Regions from separate parts of the Mus musculus genome. Here all the other regions are reported to be linked to region 1. Evidence: microRNA targets listed by miRTarBase, many of them from high-throughput screens and not tested one by one. Region 1 holds a microRNA gene; each other region holds the end of a gene's coding sequence.

Region 1 (7,052 bases):
TTCTCTGGGTAGACCCCAGCACACAGGAACCCCTCACCTGGTCCTTCTCTGGGTAGACCCCAGCGCGCAGGAACCCCCTCACCTTTTCCTTCTCTGGGTAGACCCCAGCACGCAGGAACCCCCTCACCTGGTCCTTCTCTGGGTAGACCCCAGCACATAGGAACCCCTCACCTTTTCCTTCTCTGGGTAGACCCCAGCACACAGGAACCCCTCACCTTTTCCTTCTCTGGGTAGACCCCAGCACACAGGAACCCCTCACCTGGTCCTTCTCTGGGTAGACCCCAGCGCGCAGGAACCCCTCACCTTTTCCTTCTCTGGGTAGACCCCAGCACACAGGAACCCCCTCACCTGGTCCTTCTCTGGGTAGACCCCAGCGCGCAGGAACCCCTCACCTTTTCCTTCTCTGGGTAGACCCCAGCACACAGGAACCCCTCACCTTTTCCTTCTCTGGGTAGACCCCAGCACACAGGAACCCCTCACCTGGTCCTTCTCTGGGTAGACCCCAGCGCGCAGGAACCCCTCACCTTTTCCTTCTCTGGGTAGACCCCAGCACACAGGAACCCCCTCACCTGGTCCTTCTCTGGGTAGACCCCAGCGCGCAGGAACCCCTCACCTGGTCCTTCTCTGGGTAGACCCCAGCGTGCAGGAACCCCCTCACCTGGTCCTTCTCTGGGTAGACCCCAGCACACAGGAACCCCTCACCTTTTCCTTCTCTGGGTAGACCCCAGCACACAGGAACCCCCTCACCTTTTCCTTCTCTGGGTAGACCCCAGCACACAGGAACCCCTCACCTGGTCCTTCTCTGGGTAGACCCCAGCACACAGGAACCCCTCACCTGGTCCTTCTCTGGGTAGACCCCAGCGCGCAGGAACCCCCTCACCTGGTCCTTCTCTGGGTAGACCCCAGCACACAGGAACCCCTCACCTTTTCCTTCTCTGGGTAGACCCCAGCACACAGGAACCCCCTCACCTTTTCCTTCTCTGGGTAGACCCCAGCACACAGGAACCCCTCACCTGGTCCTTCTCTGGGTAGACCCCAGCACACAGGAACCCCTCACCTGGTCCTTCTCTGGGTAGACCCCAGCGCGCAGGAACCCCTCACCTGGTCCTTCTCTGGGTAGACCCCAGCGCGCAGGAACCCCCTCACCTGGTCCTTCTCTGGGTAGACCCCAGCGCGCAGGAACGAAGCCTTCCAGCTGTCCACATCTTCCTGGGAGTCACAAGCCAGTTCAATCTGTCGAAGGTCCTTGTAGACATTCCTGGAGTGAGTGGTAGAGGGACTTGACTGGCCACTAAGACCATGGGCTCTGGGGGCTCTCTGCCTGATCTGGGTACGAAGGTGGTTCTAGTACCTTCCCTAGTTTGTTAAGAGGTTTCTGGGTGTGTCTGCCAGGTATACTATAGCACCAAGTACCGCACACAGTCCAGCTCTGGCTTTGGATCGCCCACTGAGGTGTGGAGACACTGAGGTGTTTGTAAGGAAGACCACAGCAACAATGTCTACCAGAATATCCTATAGCAGCAGGAATAGACTCAGCCTACACTGTCTGCACTGTCGAGCCCTGAGTAAGTGCATGGGTGTATGTGCATGCAGAGGTCAGAGGTCAGCACCAGACGCCCTTCCTCACTTTATCTGAGCACCTCACTCTTTTAGACAGGGTCTGTCTCACTGGCCCGAAGCTCACAGACTTGCCTAGACCGGTCAGCAGGTTTAGCGGGCACCGAGGATCCTGCTTTCTGCCTCCCCAGCACCCTGCCAGACGTTTCCTTGTACTGTGTGTGAGTGTTGTGTGTATGTGAGGGTTGTGTGTGTGAAGGTTGTATGTGTGTGAGGATTGTATCGTGTGAGGGTTTTGTGTGTGTGTGTGTGAAGACTGTGTGTGTGAAGGCTATGTTTTTGTGAGGATTATGTGTGTGAGGGTTGTGTGTTTGTGTGAGGGCTATGTGTGTGTGAGGATTGTGTGTGAGGGTTGTTGTGTGTATGAGAGTTGTATGTGTGTGAGGGTTGCACTGAGGCCCTCATGCTTACTGCATCCATGTCAGTTGTCTGTCCATGTTGCTCCGCCCACACCACACAGGAATGTCCCTGGGATAGCTCTGTGCTAGGCAAGACCCTGGCAAAGGGCCTGCTGGGCTGGCTCTTCCTCACCTCTGCTCTGTGTTGAAGATGGCAAACACGTGCTTGTTGGACATGAAGCCCTTTTCCACGTCCCGGATCTTGAGGTTGTCCAGTGGCAGCATGTACTTCTTTTCTTTCTCCTGAGGAGAGAGGGCAGGGGTCTCACCTGAGCTGCCGGGGCAGAGCCAGCAACAATCTGACAGCCACTGCCAACACCCGGCACTTGGTGTGCTGAGAGCTCTGTCACCCCACATTTACTCAAACGTCCCCTTGTTGTTTTTTGTTTGTTTTTTGTTTTTTTCGAGACAGGGTTTCTCTATATAGCCCTGGCTATTCTGGAACTCAACTCTGTAGACCAGGCTGTCCTCGAACTCAGAAATTCGTCTGCCTCTGCCTCCCAGGTGCTGTTTTTGATTTTTTGGTCAAACGTTCCCTTAACATTCTCTCTCATCCCAGGACCTGTGTACGGACCGACCCCGTCCAGACTGTTCTTGTCCCTACACCCTGTACTGCCCCCCTCCTGGCCTTCCTAGGTCTATATGCAGAAGGTCCCTCAGGGCTGACCTCATGCCACCCTACTACAGATGCTATGATGACTGCCTACCACCTGGCTGGTCCAGCAGTTGCCAGAAAGGAAGGCTGTCAGCTTTGTTTTTGATCCAGAGAACACACATGCAGTGGTCACTCAGACCTCACAGCCCTAACTTCATGCCTTCCCAGGTGGCTCTCCCCATTATCTGAGTTATGGCGGCAATCACTCACAGGGAGGGAGACTGGCGCGCAGGAGGCTATTTCAGACGCCAGGCCTGGGAAACTGATGCCTGGGCACCACTGTCACAGGAGCGTCAGTGGCTTTGCTACTCCATGCATGCCTGACAAGCGCTCTAGCGACCCAAGCCGGGGACGGAACCCAGGGTCTCTCTCAGGCAAGCACGATGCTGGCCGTGCAGGCAACACTCCTCCTCCTCCTGCTTTTGAGACAGGCCTTCCATGAAGTTGTGTTCCTCCTGCCTCCCAAGGAGCCATAACAATAGGCCTGTGACACTTTTCCTTCCTCTTCTATTTTTGGTTTTCTGAGACAGGGTTTCTCTGTATACTCCGACTGTCCTGGAACTCACTCTGTAGACCAGGCTGGCCTCGAACTCAGAAATCTGCCTGCCTCTGCCTCCCAAGTGCTGGGATTAAAGGCATGTGCCACCACTGCCCAGCTTTTTTTGGGGGGGGGGCACTTTTCCTTCTGTCTGCTCAGATTAGGAAGCTGTCTGTCCAGCACAGAGCAGGGACACTGTGTAACTAACCTAAGAATGGTTGTAGATGACAACAGCTCACTGGGGATTTTCTGCACCACACAGACTTTTTTTTTTTTTTCCAGAATAAAGTCTCCTATAGCCCAGGGTAGCATTCAATTCCCTATTCAGCTGAAGATGAGCTGAATTCCTGATCCTCTCGCATCTTGCTCACCAATGCTGTAAGGAGTTACCGCTTGAGCCATGAGTCACACCCAGTTCATGAAGCACTAGGAAAAGCTCCAACAACTGAGCTGGGCCTCAGCCCATCACCTGGACATGTCCTCCTGTGTGTGTCATGTGCAACACACTGAGGAGAACCAAGAGGCCTTCATGGGGAAGATGATGTTTACTTCTGTGAGACAAGTGCTTTTACTAAACCTGGAGCCAGCAAGCCCCAGCCTCCTCCTCTTTGCACACCTAGTGCTGAAGTCCCAGGCACTCACAGCACCCATGGGTGCGCAGGTGCGTAAGTACTCTTCCCCACAGAGCACTCTCTCCAGGCTCACTGGAGATCCTTCATGACTCTTTCTCATGTTTCTGTCCACTGCACGAACAGAAAGTCCCAGAAAGCAGCTTTGTGGAATACAATTCTGAATTCCCCCGTAGCTCTAGTGCAGAATGGGGCCAGTCTGAACACTGTATGAGGAACTGCTGTGTTCAAGCTTTGCTCTGCCTTTGAACACACTGCTTCTCCTCTGCGTTCCCGATCCCCATCTGTCTGAGGAATGATGAGTGTTACTCTTGGGGAGGGTGGCACAGTTGTGGCCCCAGTTTCCAGCCAATTCATGGACTGGCTCCCAGTCAACCTCACCAGGTCTGACTGCCTGAATGAAGCACAGGCGGAGAGGCTGTGAGCAGGGAGTGTGGAACACTCGCACACACGCGCACGCGCGTGCGCGCGCGCACACACACACACACACACACACACTGCATACCGAGAGCTCCAGACAGGGAAGGCGGCCTGAAGTCTGTCTTGTTATAAGAAACAAACCTGGGATTTTGGGGATCCCCAAAGGAGCCTCTGTTTCCAGAGGAGGGTAAGTTCCCAGAAGCAACTCTGTGGCCCCTACCCTATGGTGTCACGAGACAGAAAGCTTCCTGCCAGCAGGCCAGGGCCAAGTAAATGAGTCACAGACATCTAGGCTTGCCACATCTGGAACTGTTTATGTGTGATTCTGCCCAGGATCGGGTGGCTGCCATCTCTCTCTCTCTCTCTTTCTCTCACACGCACGCACACACACACACACACACACACACACACACACACACACACACACACACGAGCATACGCATGCGCTTGCTCGCAAAGTATGCAACTGCACAAGGACCTCCTTCTGCGGCACGGGCCATCGACCCAAGCCCTCCTCCAGCCTGCTTTCGGATTTCCTGAAAATCTCAACTTTCTCCAGATGTGAGCAAGTGGCCTTGGCCTTGCCACGTCAGAAGAGTTCAGGGTGCGTGGATGAACTGAATGGAGGATCTTGGGAGGAGCAGACTCCCTGGCCTGTACCATGGCCACGCTGAGGAACTGAACAGCCATCCCCGCCATCCCAGTGTTCAGACTACCTGTTCAGGAGGCTGGGACATGTACAGTAGTCTGCACATTGGTTAGGCTGGGCTTGGGCCAGCAGCAACAGTGGGAACTTCCAGACCACCTAAGGTGAGTGCTACCTCTCTCCACTGGGGAAGATTCTGGGAGGAGGGTGGAAAAAGTAGGCCCAGGACTGAGCGAGCGCTGGGGTGGGGAGGGATGTCCTCAGGTGAACTGGGCCTTTCTCCTTATTTCCAACGACACTGTTATCTTCTGGTTTACTCCTAAAATAAAGAAAAGTCCCCTGCTGGTCTTTATCTTGGGCTTGTCTACAAGAGTGGTCTGGGTCTCAGGGATGGCTGCTACCTGGGATACTTAGGTCCCTTACCAGGACCATTAAAGGTGTCAGGGTCTCCACAGCCCCTAGATCTCAGTGAGCTTCATCTTTGGCATACATACAGAGGGCTCCTTTCATACCTCTTGGTGGTGGTGTGGCCCTGCTACAGGCCTTGTCTACAGTGAGGCCCAAGTGCCTGCTTTCTGTCTCCAGATGAGGGGAATTGGAATGGTCATTCCCAGTCCAAAGGAAGAAGCTTGTCAGCTAGGCCCAGGGCTACGCTCCTCTGCAATGAACCTTGAAAACACACACACACACACACACACACACACACACACACAGAGTCTGCCCAGCTTTCAGGTTACTTTTCTTACAGCTGGAGCTGGAAACTCAACACTGGGTGCCTCATTCTGGGGGATAATCCCAGAGTCTTTGTTATGCTAAAAAATATGGCCAGGTCAGAGCCAGGCATGGTGGCGCATACCTTTAATCCCAGCACTTGGGAGGCAGAGGCAGGCTGATTTCTGAGTTTGAGGCCAGCCTGGTCTACAAAGTAAGTTCCAGGACAGCCAGGGCTACTCAGAGAAACCCTGTCTCAAAAAACCAAAACCAAAACCAAAACAAACCAACAAACCAAAAAACCAACAACAGCAGAAACTAGACCAGGGAAGTCTGGCCTTGGGGTGACACTTACACCACTTCAGGGCCAGGGTGCTGGCCAGCTCCTAAGATGGGAATGGAATGTGCATGGACAGGTCACATATGGTACCACACTGAGTCCTTGTGTCCCTTTGGTGCACTGGTGTGTGTGTGGGTCTCTCCTACATGGTGGCTGGAACACCCTACAGAGGTGACTGCTGGTACAGGCCACCAGAGCACATGTTGGGAGCCTGGCCCTGACTAGGATGCCCCCTCAGTTCCCATCCAGCAGCAGAGAACTGAGGCCAGGGTCTCTCCTTCAGACGGAAGTCCTCCTGATAAAACCTCACTGTAATGCAGGCTGCCCTTGAACGAGCTATGTTAGTGAAGGAGCCTGCTGAGTGTGGGCATCGCAGGCACGCATGCGATGCTAAGTGGGGATGGGACCAAAGGTTCCGTGCATGCTAAGCTACACCACCACGGCCCCTGGCTTGCTTTCCTGTTTCTTCTTTTGTGTGGGTGTATACTCAAGTTTGTGTGTAGGCACATACTCATGCAAGTGGATCTGGAAGACAGAGAACCACTTGAGGTGTCATCTCTCAGGCGCTGCGCTCTGGCTTTTTGAGTCAGGTCTCTTATTTGCCTGGAGCCTGTCAAGGAGGCAAGCCTGGCTGGCCAGCAGGCACTGCCTGCGGAGCCTGCTGGGAATACGAGCGCCCTTCACGCCTCCCTTTTCTCTTAGGTTCTGGGATGAGTCAGAGCTCCCGTGGCAGGATAAGCATGTTACCAGCTGGACTGTCTGACAGGGGCACTTCCTACATAACTTGGACAGGCCTGGACCTTACCACTGGTGCTGGGTCTCAGCACGTCAGCATGCCTGACTGTAAACTCCCTTTCTCAAGTGACTGGGGGAATGGGGTAATCAGTCTGGGGACCACCTCCCTTGCCTACCTTATCAGGCCACCCTTGTCCCCAGCTGCTTACCTCCTCATCCTTGTACCAAGACAATGACTCAGCTGTCAGCACGAACCAGTACTCCTTGGAGCCACCCTTCATCAAGCTGATATTGTTGATGGTCAACCAGCCCCTGCGGATCACCTGGTGGAGAGGCCTCAGCTTAGCAGGGAGGACAGCCCTG
Region 2 (7,052 bases), not on the chromosome of region 1:
CTTTTGTTGTCCTAAAAAATGCTTCATGACCCAAATCTGAGGATGTGTATTATCTTGAATAGAAGGCAATATAATGAATACAATGGGCTATAAATAGGGAATATAACTGTGAGATGTTAACTAAGGAGTTGAATTCATGTTCTCATAGGCTGACTAGCTGGCTGAAAATAGGTCAGCATCCTCTTTAGTGATGAATAAACTTAGTCTGCTTCCCCCAGGTTCAGATCCTTGTGCATGGGTCCAGGAAACAAAGAACTGCATTTTACTTTGGGATGAGACACTGGCATTTCCTCCTTGATTAGTTTCCCTTCCCTTTGTGGAGTAAATGAAGGTGGGGAGTGATTGGATAATTTCCCCTCAGCACCTTCCCATGTAACTATGTGACATCTTTTTTTCTTTAAAGGGTGATTCGGCAGCCAGTAGGCAGGATTTACTTTGCAGGCACAGAGACAGCAACACAGTGGAGTGGCTACATGGAAGGTGCAGTTGAAGCTGGAGAACGAGCAGCTAGAGAGGTAAGGAAGGAAACTAAGGTGTACTCCTTTTTCAATTGTAATTTCATCATGGGCAGCAGTACTGGGAATTGAACTGAAGGTGGCATGCATGAGAGGTATGGGTTATTCCAGTGAGCTATAGCTCCAGCCCTATAAGAAACATTTTTGTCATCTGATCTTTCTGATTATTTTATCTTTACAGAAAGATAAAATATACAGAAAGAAACTATACAGAAAGAAACTAGATATTTGGGCTATTTCATTGACACAATTGTGCACATATGTGGAGTACACAAAATTTTGATGCCTGTGTGTAGTATACAGTGGTCAAATCAAGATCATTATCATCTCCTTCACATCATATATCTATCATTTCTTTGAAATATTCAAATCCTTTCTTCTAGCTCTTTGGAATTACATAGTAAATTGTGATTATCTTTAGTAACCCATTCTATTGCTATAGAATGTTAGAATTTATTCCACCCAATGAATTATATTTTGATATTTATTATCCAGTCCCAGTAGCCTTACTCTCTGGTACATTTCTTAGCTTCTGGTACCCTCTGTTGTTTTCTCCATTTCTATAGGATCCACTTACTTGCCTTCTGTGTATAATGGATAGCATGTACTATTTGTCTTTCTAAGCATGGCAGATTTCATTTATGATTGTGTTGTCCTCTAAACTCATCCATGTTGTCACATTGACAGGATTTCACTCTTATTTAAAACTGAATAATCTTTCATTGTATATGAATAACAAAATTTCTTTATCCATTCATGCATCTATTTCTTGATACTGATAGTCTATGTATGCTATGTATGCATTTCTTTGCCACCCACCTGTGGGTTCACCAATGTTTAATATGATTTTGAATCTGTTAACAGTATATAATGTCACAGTATAATGCTGTAATCACTTTCTTTCAGGTCTTGAATGCTCTAGGAAAAGTTGCCAAGAAGGATATATGGGTTCAAGAGCCTGAGTCCAAGGTAAGTTTGATTACTCCATATCTACAGACCAACTACAGCACATAAAATTGCACTGTCCTTCATTTAGCCTCTGCTTTTACTATAGATGCAACTGTCTTAGCATAGAAATACATACTACTACAGATAGGCTTTGTTTCTTTTAACTATAGCAAGAATTTCTATTAATGATCTGTGTTCATCTGTTTAGGATGTTCCAGCTCTTGAAATTACCCACACCTTCTTAGAGAGGAACCTGCCTTCCGTGCCTGGTCTGCTCAAGATCACTGGTTTTTCCACTTCTGTGGCTCTTCTCTGCTTTGTATTGTACAAGTTTAAACAGCCCCAGTCCTGAAGTTTTCACCCACAGGCCTCCTGCTTGATCATCCTTAGCACAATGAGCATGTAAAGGAAAGTGAGGATGAATTACAGCCTGTGGTTTGGGCAATTTAAGTGCACTTGATTTAACCCTGCTCAGTTTAATTTCAGTCTTTGTAAAGTGGTAACAGTCCAAAGAATCACCTAGCTAATTTCCATAAGAATGAGTTTCATCTTGTTTGTTAGACTAATTTGTGTTGGTTGATAGAATAAAATGTTGAGTGCTTAATTTCAAAAAGTTAAGTGCTTATGAGGAATAATTTCTGGATTCTGTTTTTTTTTTTCTTTTGCCTTTAATGCAAAACAGCTAATGGTTTCAGAAATAAAATAACTTGACTTACTGTGACTTTTGTGTAGCATCCAATGTGTACAGAGGAAAATAGTGGCTGAAATGTTCCCTAGGTATCCTCACTGATTACTAGTTCCATGTGACGCACACTACAATAGGCACTTCCTTTTCTGGACTGTATCTAGACAAGCATTGCTCCTTGTCAGTAACATTCTGTGCTGATTTAAGGAAAGTAGCATTATTTTAATGTGTTCTATGGCTGTCTGATCATAGAATTAGATTTCTAAGCCTACCTGTGTCTTCAAAATGGTTAAATATTTGTCTTGGTTGATAGTATACCATTTTCTCTCAAGTGCCAAAGGACATATGAAATTTTCTCTGTTGTTACAGTCAAACACAGAATGAAATTAGGGCTCTGTGTGATAACATGACCTCTTTTAATTATTAGGTTTTATAACAGACATTAAATTGAATGATTTTATATATCTGTACTGGGTTCTATATCTTAGTAGAGTTGTGGGTCCAGAATGGTGCCTGTATTTTTTTCTTTCCCATCTGAAATCCTGTCAATTAAAAAAAAAAATTCCAAAGGTTTCAACCACAAAGCACTTTAAAAAAAAATGTAAGTATAGTTTTTATTTAAGGAGAATTATGTCAGCATATGCTGGCCAACCCAAGTTTATTATACTAGCTTTATCCAAAATGTAAATTTAAGCCTCTAGATGCTGATGTGTGGACTTACAGCCTTTAAAGTTTTGCCCAGTCTAAGAGCAAAGATCTAGATTTCTTACCTTACTCTATCTTATAATTCAAAAGCATTTTAACTAACTTAAAAGATTCAGTGATGTCTTAGATGTTCTCCAGTCCATAAGGTGTTGCCTCAATTCATATCAAACTGTAGTGAGAGCTCTCAGCACTAATCTGCTCCAGTTGTGTGTATTAACTTAGTCGTGACTCATCTTGAAATGATTTAAAGGAGTGGATAGGCAAGAGGTCTAAAAGTATTCAGATTGTTAACACTAAACTGTTGAATATTGAAAACCTCCTGAGTTTGCAGTTTACTCTCTGCTTTTTAGAAAACCAGTTGATCTATCCTAATGATATCAACCCTATTAAGCTACAGTCTGGGTATTAAAATGATTTCCAGTACAGCCCATGTGTTTAGACATGTAACGGGAATTAAGAAGCACTATATGTTTCCAATTCTAAGAAGGGGCAAAGTGTCCACACTTTGGTCTATGTTCTTCTTCAGTTTCATGTGTTTTACAAATTGTCTCTTATATCTCGGGTATACTAAGTTTCTGGGCTAATATCCACTTATCAGTGAGTACATATCATTTGAGTTCTTTTGTGATTGTGTTACCTCACTCAGGATGATGCCCTCCAGGTATAACCATTTGCCTAGGAATTTCATAAATTCATTCTTTTTAATAGCTGAGTAGTACTCTAGGTGCAACAACATTATGAACTAACCAGTACCCCAGAGCTCTTGACTCTAGCTGCATATGTATCAAAAGATGGCCTAGTAGGCCATCACTGGAAAGAGAGGCCCATTGGACACTCAAACTTTATATGCCCGAGTACAGGGGAACGCCAGGGCCAAAAAGTGGGAGTGGGTGGGTAGGGGAGTGGGGGAAGGGTATGGGGGACTTTTGGGATAGCATTGGAAATGTAATTGAGGAAAATACGTAATAAAAAAATTAAAAAAAAAAGTAGCACTATATGTGAGGCTGTCTACCACAAAGTTAACATTGCCCTTTACTTTGCAACAGAGAAACAAAAATCATTTCAAGAGATTGATAATCCCCTTCATAGATCTGATGGCCAGTTGGCCTTTCTCCATAGTTAGGATGAGAATTGGTTTTTTAAAAGTACATCTTTTTGTCATAGCTGTTAAATATGATCTCATATTACACTGAATAAATTTAAACTTTACTGAAGGACTGTGAACTATGTTTTGCTTGATGGTTGTAAACTTGGTACCTAATGTTCCACGTAAAAATAAAGTTGGCCACAGAGCTACATATGGGCATATGCATATGTATTTGATTTGCCACTGAAGTAAGATATTGTCTGTGTGGTACTGAGTTTTGTTGTTGTTCTTAATAAAATGTGATGCCATCCTTCATTCAGATAGGCTTCTCTGATTTGGCTAATAGTTTATCAAAAGCTTCAAATGGCTTCTTATTGCCAGAAGTCTACAGAGGATGAACTTTTTAAAAGCACCTGATAATGCAACTCCAAATTCTTAACACTTGGTTTGATCTTCATGTAATGAAGGTTGACTGGGAATAGATCAAATGCTATAATACTATAGTAGGCCTGACTGGGCCACAGGTGTGGATTTTGACAAGTTTTCTCACCTAACTACCTTACGATGCCTTGGGAAAATCATTTGGTTTCTCTGCCTCAATTTACTCATGTGTGGAAAGACAGTCCTGTGCTTGATATCGTCTATGTGATTAATGTATTCTATTGCTAGCATTATTTCTTATCACTTTTTGGATTTCCTAGGAATAGACCAAGATGCTGAAAGTTTGCTAGAGACAGCATCCTAAAAAGGATGAGGAAGGTAAGTTTGTGCAGAGGACAGTCAGTGTGCAATGCAGTTGCAACTGAAAACTCAGCACATTCGAATGGGAAGGTAGTAAGGTTGTTAAGACTTCCCTTCACCCCCTATCAAGGCAAGATCTAGGTTTTAGTCCTTCTATCAGATACTCTATGGAAGGGAGTGTGATTACAGACAAGACAGGTCCAGAAACAATTTGTAATCAGAACCTACAACTGCAATTTTCAAGTCCTAATGAGAAATTGGGATCAGCCTGTCTTCGCAGCAGCTGGGGATGCAGGATGTCATTTTCTGCAAGACAATCTAGTTCTGCAAAGCACAGAAAATAACTTTGTCAAGTATAAGCCATTTTGGACTTGAACTTTGAGTAGTGTCACTATCTCTATGAACCTGTCCCTATTAAAGAGAAGGCTTTATTTCTGCATTATTTTTTATAAAGGAAAAAACAAGTTTAAAGGAACCCTGAAAATGACTTAAAGGATAACCCTACCTACACATTACTAGCAAAAATCAAAGGGAAAAATATATGCTTACAACTGGCCTCTTTGGGTAGAGGAAATGCCTAGCCTCACTGAGACTTGAAGTGCCAGGGTGGGGATACCCAGAGGGACTCTTACCCACTCAGAGGAGGAGAGATGGGGAAAGTATTGTGTGAGGAGGTGACCAGGAGTGGGGCAGTGAGTGGGATGTAAAGTGAATAAATAAAAAATAAAGTTAAATTTAAAAAATTTAAAAAGACCCAAATAGTTGTCCGCAATAATCAGCTAAAAGTGAATAGCAAGCATGAGAGACCTTATAGAGAAGTAAAGACTAGATGACCTAGGAGTTATGTGTCATTCTGAAAGGTAAGAATTCCTTTTGATAATTGCAGGCCAATTAAAGGTGCTGCTAAAAATTTGCTTGATATGACTAAATTGTTCTTGGGTTCCTGATTCTTTTTTTAAAAATCCAGTTTATACCACCTGAATGCCAAATTGTTTTTGGATGCTTTACCCACTGAGGAAGGAACCACAATACCAGCAATCATTGAGTAAAATTACCAGGAGTGGGTAAAAGAAGATCAAACAACAAACCAGAAAACATAGCAATAGCCCTCTTTAGTGACAGCCCTAGCAACACTTCTTCTGTTCGTATGTCCTGCCCATACAGGCATATCCACATAGCCATGTCATGGCTGGCAAGAGCAGTGCCAGACATCATGTGGGGAAAGGCGTGGAGAGAATTCTCATCATTCTATAGAAACTACCCGTTTGATCTGTGCTGACTGATACAATTCTAGTAAACAGGACAACAATGTGAAATAGGTTAAGTCTGAAACTAATGCGGTTCACAGTACAGAAAGAATCCATAAAGAATCCTTAGACAGAAGAACCTGGTGATTCCTCAAAAGGAGGGCACTTTGTAACAACAGTTTTTTCCCTCTCACATGGGGCTTTTGTTCCCTTTGGCAAGGCCTTTTTTTTTTTTTCTCGTCTAAAGATAAGGCAGGACGACTCAAGTGATAACTCTGTGTGTGTGTGTGTGTGTGTGTGTGTGTGTGTGTTTGAATCAGAGTGATTGATTAAACTGGAGTCAAATTTCTGAAGGTAGCTTTGGAGGCCTCATGCAAAAACTTTGGATAAAGGATACTTCTAGACCTCCCTTAAGTCATGTGTAAGCATTTTGCCTACTGACTTAAATTCTTTTACAGTCACACCTCTGTGTGAAACAGCTTTTCCTATTAATGAGCATAAGATATTTCTCATGAACCACTGAAATTCATAAATGGAATGGGGAAGAATGAAGTGGTATGGCATGGGTGTATACTGGGGGAAGGGAATGCTGATTGAGGATGAAAGGAGAATGGGAAAGATGCTTAAACATCCATGGAACATCACACTAATTCTTGTGCGCACCCGACTCGACCAGCAAGAACTATGCTGCAACAGGATCCTTCTGCACATGTTTATTGGGAGAGCTTGATTGCAGAGGCGAATTGACCCGAGCCCAGAACTGGTGCTGCTTATATAGGCCTAGGAGAGGCGTGTCTCACACCCGGATTGGTTATGCACTAAGCCTCATTTGCATGTTCCTCATCTGATTGGCTACTCTCTCTGTACCTCACAGAGCCTCATTATCATACCTCATTTGCATGTCTCACATCTGATTGGTTATACTCTCAAAGCCTCATTATCATGCCCGGGCCAGGCAGTGTCTTTGCAAAAAACTTTACTGCATATGTACACATTGGTTGTTTGTCCAAACTTATGCGTGGTGGACAGCAGTAGTCAGCGCCACTCTGCAACAGCACTTGTGGCTTCCCACATCTCCCCCTTTTTGTTTTAAAAAAAATGAGGCTGGACTAGGCCTGTGCAAT
Region 3 (7,052 bases), not on the chromosome of region 1:
GTTTGGGTTGTTTGTGGTTTTGGTTTTGTGTTTAAGACAGGGACACTATGTAGCCCTGGCTCTCCTGAAACTCACTCTGTAGACCAGGCTAGCCTGAAACTCAAGATTTCTGCCTGGCTGTAACTCAGAGAGGCTGGGATTAAAAGGGTATGCCACCATGCCCAGCCAGAATGCATGCTGATAAGAACAGGTCCTGCTGGCCTACAGGCCATGGCCACCATTGTCCTCTGCTGAGAGACCTCACGCCCTCCCACAATCCCTTCTCTAGCTTCTCCCTTAGGGCCAGACTCATGCAGCCCTGTCGCTAACATATCTCTTCTCATCCCTAGACATCAACAGTGATGGTGTCCTAGATGAGCAAGAACTGGAAGCTCTCTTTACCAAGGAGGTGAGTGTAATGGAAGCTTTGTGAGCGAGACATACTTCAGCCTCTTACGCCCTAACCTATCCTCTGCTTTCCTGTCAGTGAGGGTGCAGGAAAAACTGTAAGTCCCAGCAGCCCCTAGAGACAAAGAAGCCATGAATAGTGAAGCAGGCGCCACTGGTCCTCTGGGGGGGGGGTAAGTCCCCCAAGAGTGGCGGTGTTCTGCGCCCCTCAGCGTGTCACGCTTCTCCCTTCACCCTGCAGCTGGAGAAGGTGTATGACCCGAAGAATGAGGAGGATGACATGAGAGAGATGGAGGAAGAACGGCTTCGCATGCGGGAGCACGTGATGAAGAATGTGAGAGACGCCATGCGGAGGGTGGGCAGTGGACAACAGGCTCAGCACAGTCACTAACCTTGGTCTGGCTCCCCAGGTGGACACCAACCAGGACCGGCTTGTGACCCTGGAGGAGTTCCTGGCATCCACCCAGAGGAAGGAGTTCGGGGACACTGGGGAGGGGTGGAAGGTGAGGACACGGGAAACCCTCAGACCTTAGTGTCTCCCGGGTCCAGCCTTTCCTTCAGCACCTCTGGCTCTCTCCTGCCCTTCCTTCTGGTTCCGAATTCTGCCATTCCCTATCTAGACCCCTGTTCTTCTTTCTGTAGTCTTTAGCAAACACTCTGTTTCCAGTCAGGTAGCACACACATGCACCCCAGCCTCCGCCCCTCTCCCGCTCAGTGAGGCTGAGCTTGCCCTAACTGATCGCCTGACCCTGTCCTGTGCCCTGCAGACAGTGGAAATGTCCCCAGCCTACACAGAGGAGGAGCTGAAGCGTTTTGAAGAGGAGCTGGCTGCCCGGGAAGCTGAGCTGAATGCCAGGGCCCAGCGCCTCAGCCAGGAGACAGAGGCCCTGGGGCGCTCCCAGGACCGCCTGGAGGCACAGAAGAGAGAGCTGCAGCAGGTGACCAGTGGGGGAATTCGGGCCCATTCTCTGGTTCTCTTAGGACCCTTTTCTTTATCCAAATGGGTATCTTCAGGGTGGGATGGCCTGTAGCTGCCATGTTAGGAATCTTAGATACATACATGCAGGTGATAGCTGCCGTCATTAAAGGGGCAGAGGATTTTCCATGCCTGACTGTGCATGGCAGCCATTTTACATGAGGCAGTGAGGGGAGCCTAGAGTTCAGTGTGGGAGCACCTGAGCCACGACAGGAGACAATGGAATCCTAACTAGTGTGGATCCCAGCTCAGTGACGAGGAGCCAAGGCCATGGGGAAGAAAAGGGACTGTGGCCCCTTAGCAGTTGGCTATAGATAGCATCTTCCTGGGGCCATAACCTCCTGACTGTGCATCTGCCTCCTGCAGGCTGTTCTGCAGATGGAGCAGAGGAAGCAGCAACTGCAAGAACAGAGCGCTCCGCCTTCCAAACCTGACGGGCAGCTGCAGTTCCGTGCAGACACAGGTACGGCTCTGTGCCCTGGACACTGAAGGAGGAAGACCGGGTCCCAGGCCCCTAAGACAGAAGCAGGGGATTCGTGACTGAGTCTCAGGCTGAGGAAGGAGGCCTGAGAATCCTGTTTCCCGTGTTGAGGAATTTTATCTAACATCATTCTCCTGTTTCCTCTGCAGATGACGCTCCTGTCCCAGCTCCAGCAGGTGACCAGAAAGATGTGCCTGCTTCTGAGAAGAAGGTCCCAGAGCAGCCCCCTGAGCTGCCACAGCTGGATTCCCAGCATTTATAACTCCTCAGAGACCCCAGCCCTCAGGTTCCCACAGACAGTGTGGAAGCCAGATGAAGTGGCCTTGCAGCCTCCCTGGGGACCAACGCCCTCATGGCCTCCTGGGAGCAGAACAGGGGCTACCCTGTTCCTCAGATGTGCTTCTGCTGGTCTACCATTCTCTGCTCTCAGCCTCTGGGTCCAGGTTCTGCCTCCCTCTCTCGCTCCCTCCCTCCACTGTCAGGGATTAACTACAGGAGCTGAAGTTGCAGGAGAGCTCGCTCACCTCACCTGGAGTGCACACTCCAGGCCTGCCCACCTGCCTACTTTGCTCTTCTCTGTTCCAGGCTCAGCCTCTCTGCTTCCTGTACCTAGTGTCACTGGATCACAGGACCTTGGCTTAGTGTCTCTGACTCTGCCTTCTGTGGAGCCAATGATCTCAATTCCTTTTGGTGGCTAGAGGCCACCAGGATGTGGGGTGTTCTTCAAGTAGCTATCAGCTCTGCCTGGGACTCCTGGCCTTTACCACCACCCCATCAGCCTACCCTAACTCCCAGGCTCAATACCTACCCCATGGCCCCAGGAGGTACCCAGATATGGCTACACCCCTAGCTGAGGTCCAACCCTGCTCAGGGCTCCTGAAAATTGGTTCACCAACTTCCCTGGCTTCAGGCCACACTGCTGTGTCCTGCTCTGTGCCCCAGTTCCATCCAAATATAGCCCGGCACAAATAAACATTAGTGTATCTGTGTGAATATCCTGCCCTCTTCCAAGCCCTGCCTGCACGCACGCCACCTGCTCACCTCCCTGGTATCCTAGGGCACATGACTTTCCCTGCCAGGAGACTTGCCAGGCGGCTTTCTGTGTGCTCTTGCCACAAGGGCCTCGCTGCTTCATTTTTGCCATGGGAACAGAAAACCTAAACCTGAGCTTGAAAAAAAAAAGTTTACTATCTTAAATAATTAAAAATATATATTATTAAGGGTCTGTGGCTCAGTTGGCATAATGTGTGCCTAGCATGACGGAGGCCCTGTATCCCACAGTCCACGTAACTGGGGTACAGGGATAAATGCCCGTAATCCTAGTGCTTGGGAGGTAGAGGCAGGAAGATCAGGAGTTCATTGTCATCCTAGGCTGTGTTATAAGTTCAAAGCCAACCTAGACTATATGAAGCCCTGTGCCCAAAGACAAAAACAACAAAAAAATGACCAAACACCAGGCAGGGAGGCTGAGAGATGTGGGTGGGTCCTTTGAGTTCAAGCCAGACATGTTTAGGGGCCATGGAGATGGCTCAGTTGGAAAAGTGCTCGTGCAGGCATGAGGAGCTCAGTTTGGATTCTTGTCACCCAGGTATTACTTATGACCCCAGCAACAGGGAGGCAGAAGCAGGCCACACCCTGGGATCACAATTCAAGCCTCAACCACAGGTTCTGTCTCAACATGTGCTCTGACCTGCACAGTGTGTGCAGCGCGACAGCGCCAGGATTACAGGAAATGTCCCAGTCTCCTATCTTCTGTGTCAGTTACTGGGACATAACTCCATGATCCCACATAGCTGTGACAACTCCAGACTGCACCAACATCCAGACTTTTTTGTCAGTGGGAGACTGCTCCCCAAAGCACATGCCCATGCGGCTTCCCACTCAAGTCCCATTGGTCTTGAGGCCTCCCGTGGCCATGAGAACACCAGGATGGTGGCTACCTGTGGTGCTTTGTCCTCATCTTGGATGGGGACAGTCTCTGAAGAAATTAGGAGGCCTTCATTTACATAAGGGCATAAACAGCTGCACCCAGACCAAGTCTCACCACATCACGTTGATGTCACAGGAGCTGTGCATCCCTTATCTCCCACTCTCCATATTATCTTGAATCTCCCAAGATCACCTGAAGCTGTGGTTTCACAGAAAGGAGTAATGGCTGGAGTCTTAGGAACCAGTCTTGTGGCTCTTCCCTTTTTTATCTACCTGGAAGTGCTTGTAGGCTCATTACCTTAGACCTGGCTACCCCTGGTTAGCAGCCATGGCTTCTGAGTAAATATATTCTTATTACCCAAGATGGCACCACATACGTGATTTAGAGAGAAAAACAAAACAATAAAACCCACCATACAACACAATAGCTACAGGTGGTGCATGCCTTTAATCCCAGCACTCGGGAGGCAGAGGCAGGCAGGTTTCTGAGTTCGAGGCCAACCTGGTCTACAAAGTGAGTTCCAGGAGAGCCAGGGCTATACAGAGAAACCCTGTCTCAAAAACAAACAAAAAAACAAGAATTACATCTGAGAAAAAAGATATACATACTACTCTCTCTCTCAGTAACAACTGCCTAGAGAGCCTCAGGAGGGGTGGGGCTTTTCGGCTCCTCCCACACCAAGGCCCATTCTGTTTGTTTTGCTTTTTGTTTTCCGAGGCAGGCTGTCACTGTGCAGCTCCAGCGACCTTGGAACTCTGTGGACCAGGCTGGCCTTCAACTCACTGAAATCTACCTGCCAATTGCATCCTATGATTAAAAGTGTGTGCCACCAAGTCCTGCCTGCATTAAGCCTTTTTTAAAAAAGGTTTACTTTTAGTTCTGAGTATGTGTGTGTTTTTGTGTGTATGCCATAAGAATGCAGGAGTCCGCAGAATTCAGAGAGGGCATCAGATCCCCAGGAGCCGGAGTTACAGTTGATTGTGAGCAATGTGGATACACGCTGGAAACCAAATGCAGGTTCTCTGTAGGAGCAGCACATGTTCTTAACTACTGAGTCATCCCGCCAGCTGAAGAAACCTACACATCAAATCCTACACTCTCCTGACCCCATGAGGAGTCAGAGCAGTTAGCACTCCCTCCCCTTGACACCCCCCCTCGTGTGTGTGTGTGTGTGTGTGTGTGTGTGTGTGTGCGCGCGCGCGAGTGCAAATGCCAGCCTTGGGAACAGGCAGCATACCCTAGCCTCCAGGTTACTGAAACTCACACTCATTTGATTAACAACCAACATTTCTCCAGTGCAGATGGCTCCTGCCCTTGAAAAAAAAATAAGCCAATACCCTTGCAATGATAATAGCCCACTCTTTGATGATGAAAAAGAGACAATTAAGTGTTCCCAGACAGCTGTGGCCAGCTGTAAAACTGCACCAGCTTCTAACAGCACAAGTTACTTTTCCCAGGTCAGAAAGGTCCCTTTCCAGCTGTGCCGTTCTGATCCCCCCCCACCCCCCTACCCCCCACCCCCGTCTGAAGAAATGTTACAGGTTTGAGGGCGGCATTCCTTTATCCTCTCCTGTAATGCCACGGCTTGAAAACCCTGCTTGTGGGGTTTTTTCCTTTATAACCCCCCTTCACTTAGAGGCTTCACTCTTTCCTGTTCCATCAAGAAGGTTGGGGACCTAAGCTCAAACTTGAATAAAGACCCTGCAATTACAGCAGGTTGTGATTCCTGGTGATCTCTTTGGGGTTTTTACAATCTGGGCACCGCCTCCAGCTACCAAGGTCTTACAGGCAAGGGAAATTGGAGTCTTGGTGAAGGTAGACTTTGCCAACCGGTTGAGTATATTTACATAATAGGCCATAGAACTCAGTTAATCCTCTTAAGACTTTCTTCTAAGTAGAAACTGTGGGGACTTCAGTCTCCAGAACAGAAAAGTGACCCCCAGAGAGGTCCAGGGCTAAGCCAAGAAGAAACAGAAGGACATGGAAGACAACTCTGTCCCTAACTCCAGGGGTCACAGGACACAGGACCAGCTCTGAGGCCTGTGATCCAGGCCTGTCCGTACGAGCTGCTTGGGAAGCTGAGGCAGGAGGATTGCTATCTTAAGCACGTGTACCTGTGGCGCCTGTGACAGGGAACGGTCTTTCCTGGCAAAGGCTTACGTGAAGATGGGAGGAGAAGGTGACCTCAGCCCTGGCTTCCCTCGCTCCAGTGCTGAAAGTCCCTGTTGCCTCGCCGCCACTTAGTTCAATCAGTTAAGCACAATAACTGATTAGCCTCCTATGCCTTACTAAATAGGAGACTTGTGAACACCTGGGCACAGTCAGTCAGTGTTCAGTGGATCAGACGAGAGAGAATGAAACTGGGCTGTAAGTGAAGAGGAGCTATTATCAGTAAGGTGCACATTCTTTCCCCTCTCGACGGCAAGTGAGATAAATCAAGTTCCATCATTAAAGAGACTTGTAAAGACATAATCTGGGGGGTGGAGAGAGGGCTCAGGTTAAGAGCATCTACTGTTCTTCCCAGCATCTATATAATGAACGGCTCACAGCCACCTGCAACTCTGGTTCCAAGGAATCCTCCTCCTCCATATTTTCTTTTTCTTCCTTCCTTCCTTCCTAATTTATTTTATGCGTTGAAGAGTTTTGTCTGTATGCATGCATGCCCACCATGTGCATGCCTGGTGCCCTCAGAGGACAGAAGGCGGCACTGGATATCCTGGAAGATGGTTTCGAGCTGCCAAGTGGACAGAACTTGGGTCCTCTCCAGAAGTAAAACGTTTGCTTTGTCAGAAATACTTTGGATCCTGTGGTCATTTTCTTGAGACCACAGACTATTTTATTTTATTTTATTTTATTGGCTTTTTTTTCGAGATAGGGTTTCTCTGTGTAGCCCTGGCAGTCCTGGAACTCACTCTGTAGACCAGGCTGGCCTCGAACTCAGAAATTCGCCGGCTTCTGCCTCCAGAGTGCTGGGATCAAAGGCGTGCGCCACCACGCCCGGGCCCCACAGACTAATTGATAACAATAGCAAATCCCCATCTCAAAATAAAAAGTAAAAAGGCAACTTGAAAGACAGGCACGGTGGTGTATGCCTGTATTGCTGCACTCAAGGAGCTGAGGCAGGAGGATTGCCTTGAGTTTATGGTCAGCAAGCAGCCTTGGCTATATATATATATTGTGAATTGCAGGCCAGCTTGGGCAAGAGTTAGGCACTGAGAAGAAGGAGAAGGAGAAGGAGGGAGGGAGAAGGGCGGGCGCAGGGAGGAGGGGAAGGAGGA

Evidence for each region. Region 1 holds the annotated microRNA mmu-miR-199a-5p (CCCAGUGUUCAGACUACCUGUUC, at 4,957-4,979, shown strand). A microRNA usually pairs through its seed, bases 2 to 8, with sites in the 3' UTR of a target mRNA and lowers its output. Matches are read on the target gene's strand: a 7mer-m8 pairs with bases 2 to 8, a 7mer-A1 pairs with bases 2 to 7 and ends in A, and an 8mer does both.
Region 2: the mRNA of Maoa is a reported target of mmu-miR-199a-5p. Seed matches in the 3' UTR shown: 7mer-A1 at 3,662-3,668.
Region 3: miRTarBase lists Nucb1 as a target of mmu-miR-199a-5p. Seed matches in the 3' UTR shown: 7mer-A1 at 2,461-2,467.

What each region holds. Positions count from the first base shown.
Region 1 is chr9:21,494,464-21,501,515 of GRCm38, reverse strand. Mir199a-1 (microRNA 199a-1) reads left to right here and starts at 4,952; the gene lies at 4,952-5,021. It overlaps Dnm2 (dynamin 2), which reads right to left. Exons shown (of 21, transcript NM_001253893.1): 15 at 6,899-7,012; 16 at 2,149-2,258; 17 at 1,147-1,258.
Region 2 is chrX:16,683,561-16,690,612 of GRCm38, forward strand. Maoa (monoamine oxidase A) reads left to right here. Exons shown (of 15, transcript NM_173740.3): 13 at 404-515; 14 at 1,422-1,484; 15 at 1,672-4,252. The coding sequence ends at 1,815. Among named protein-coding and RNA genes, the nearest start is that of Maoa, 67 kb to the left of the region's middle.
Region 3 is chr7:45,488,891-45,495,942 of GRCm38, reverse strand. It overlaps Nucb1 (nucleobindin 1), which reads left to right. Exons shown (of 13, transcript NM_001163662.1): 8 at 330-388; 9 at 629-721; 10 at 798-890; 11 at 1,155-1,325; 12 at 1,730-1,826; 13 at 1,994-3,269. The coding sequence ends at 2,106. It also overlaps a transcript of Tulp2 not described here. Among named protein-coding and RNA genes, the nearest start is that of Dhdh, 3.6 kb to the right of the region's middle.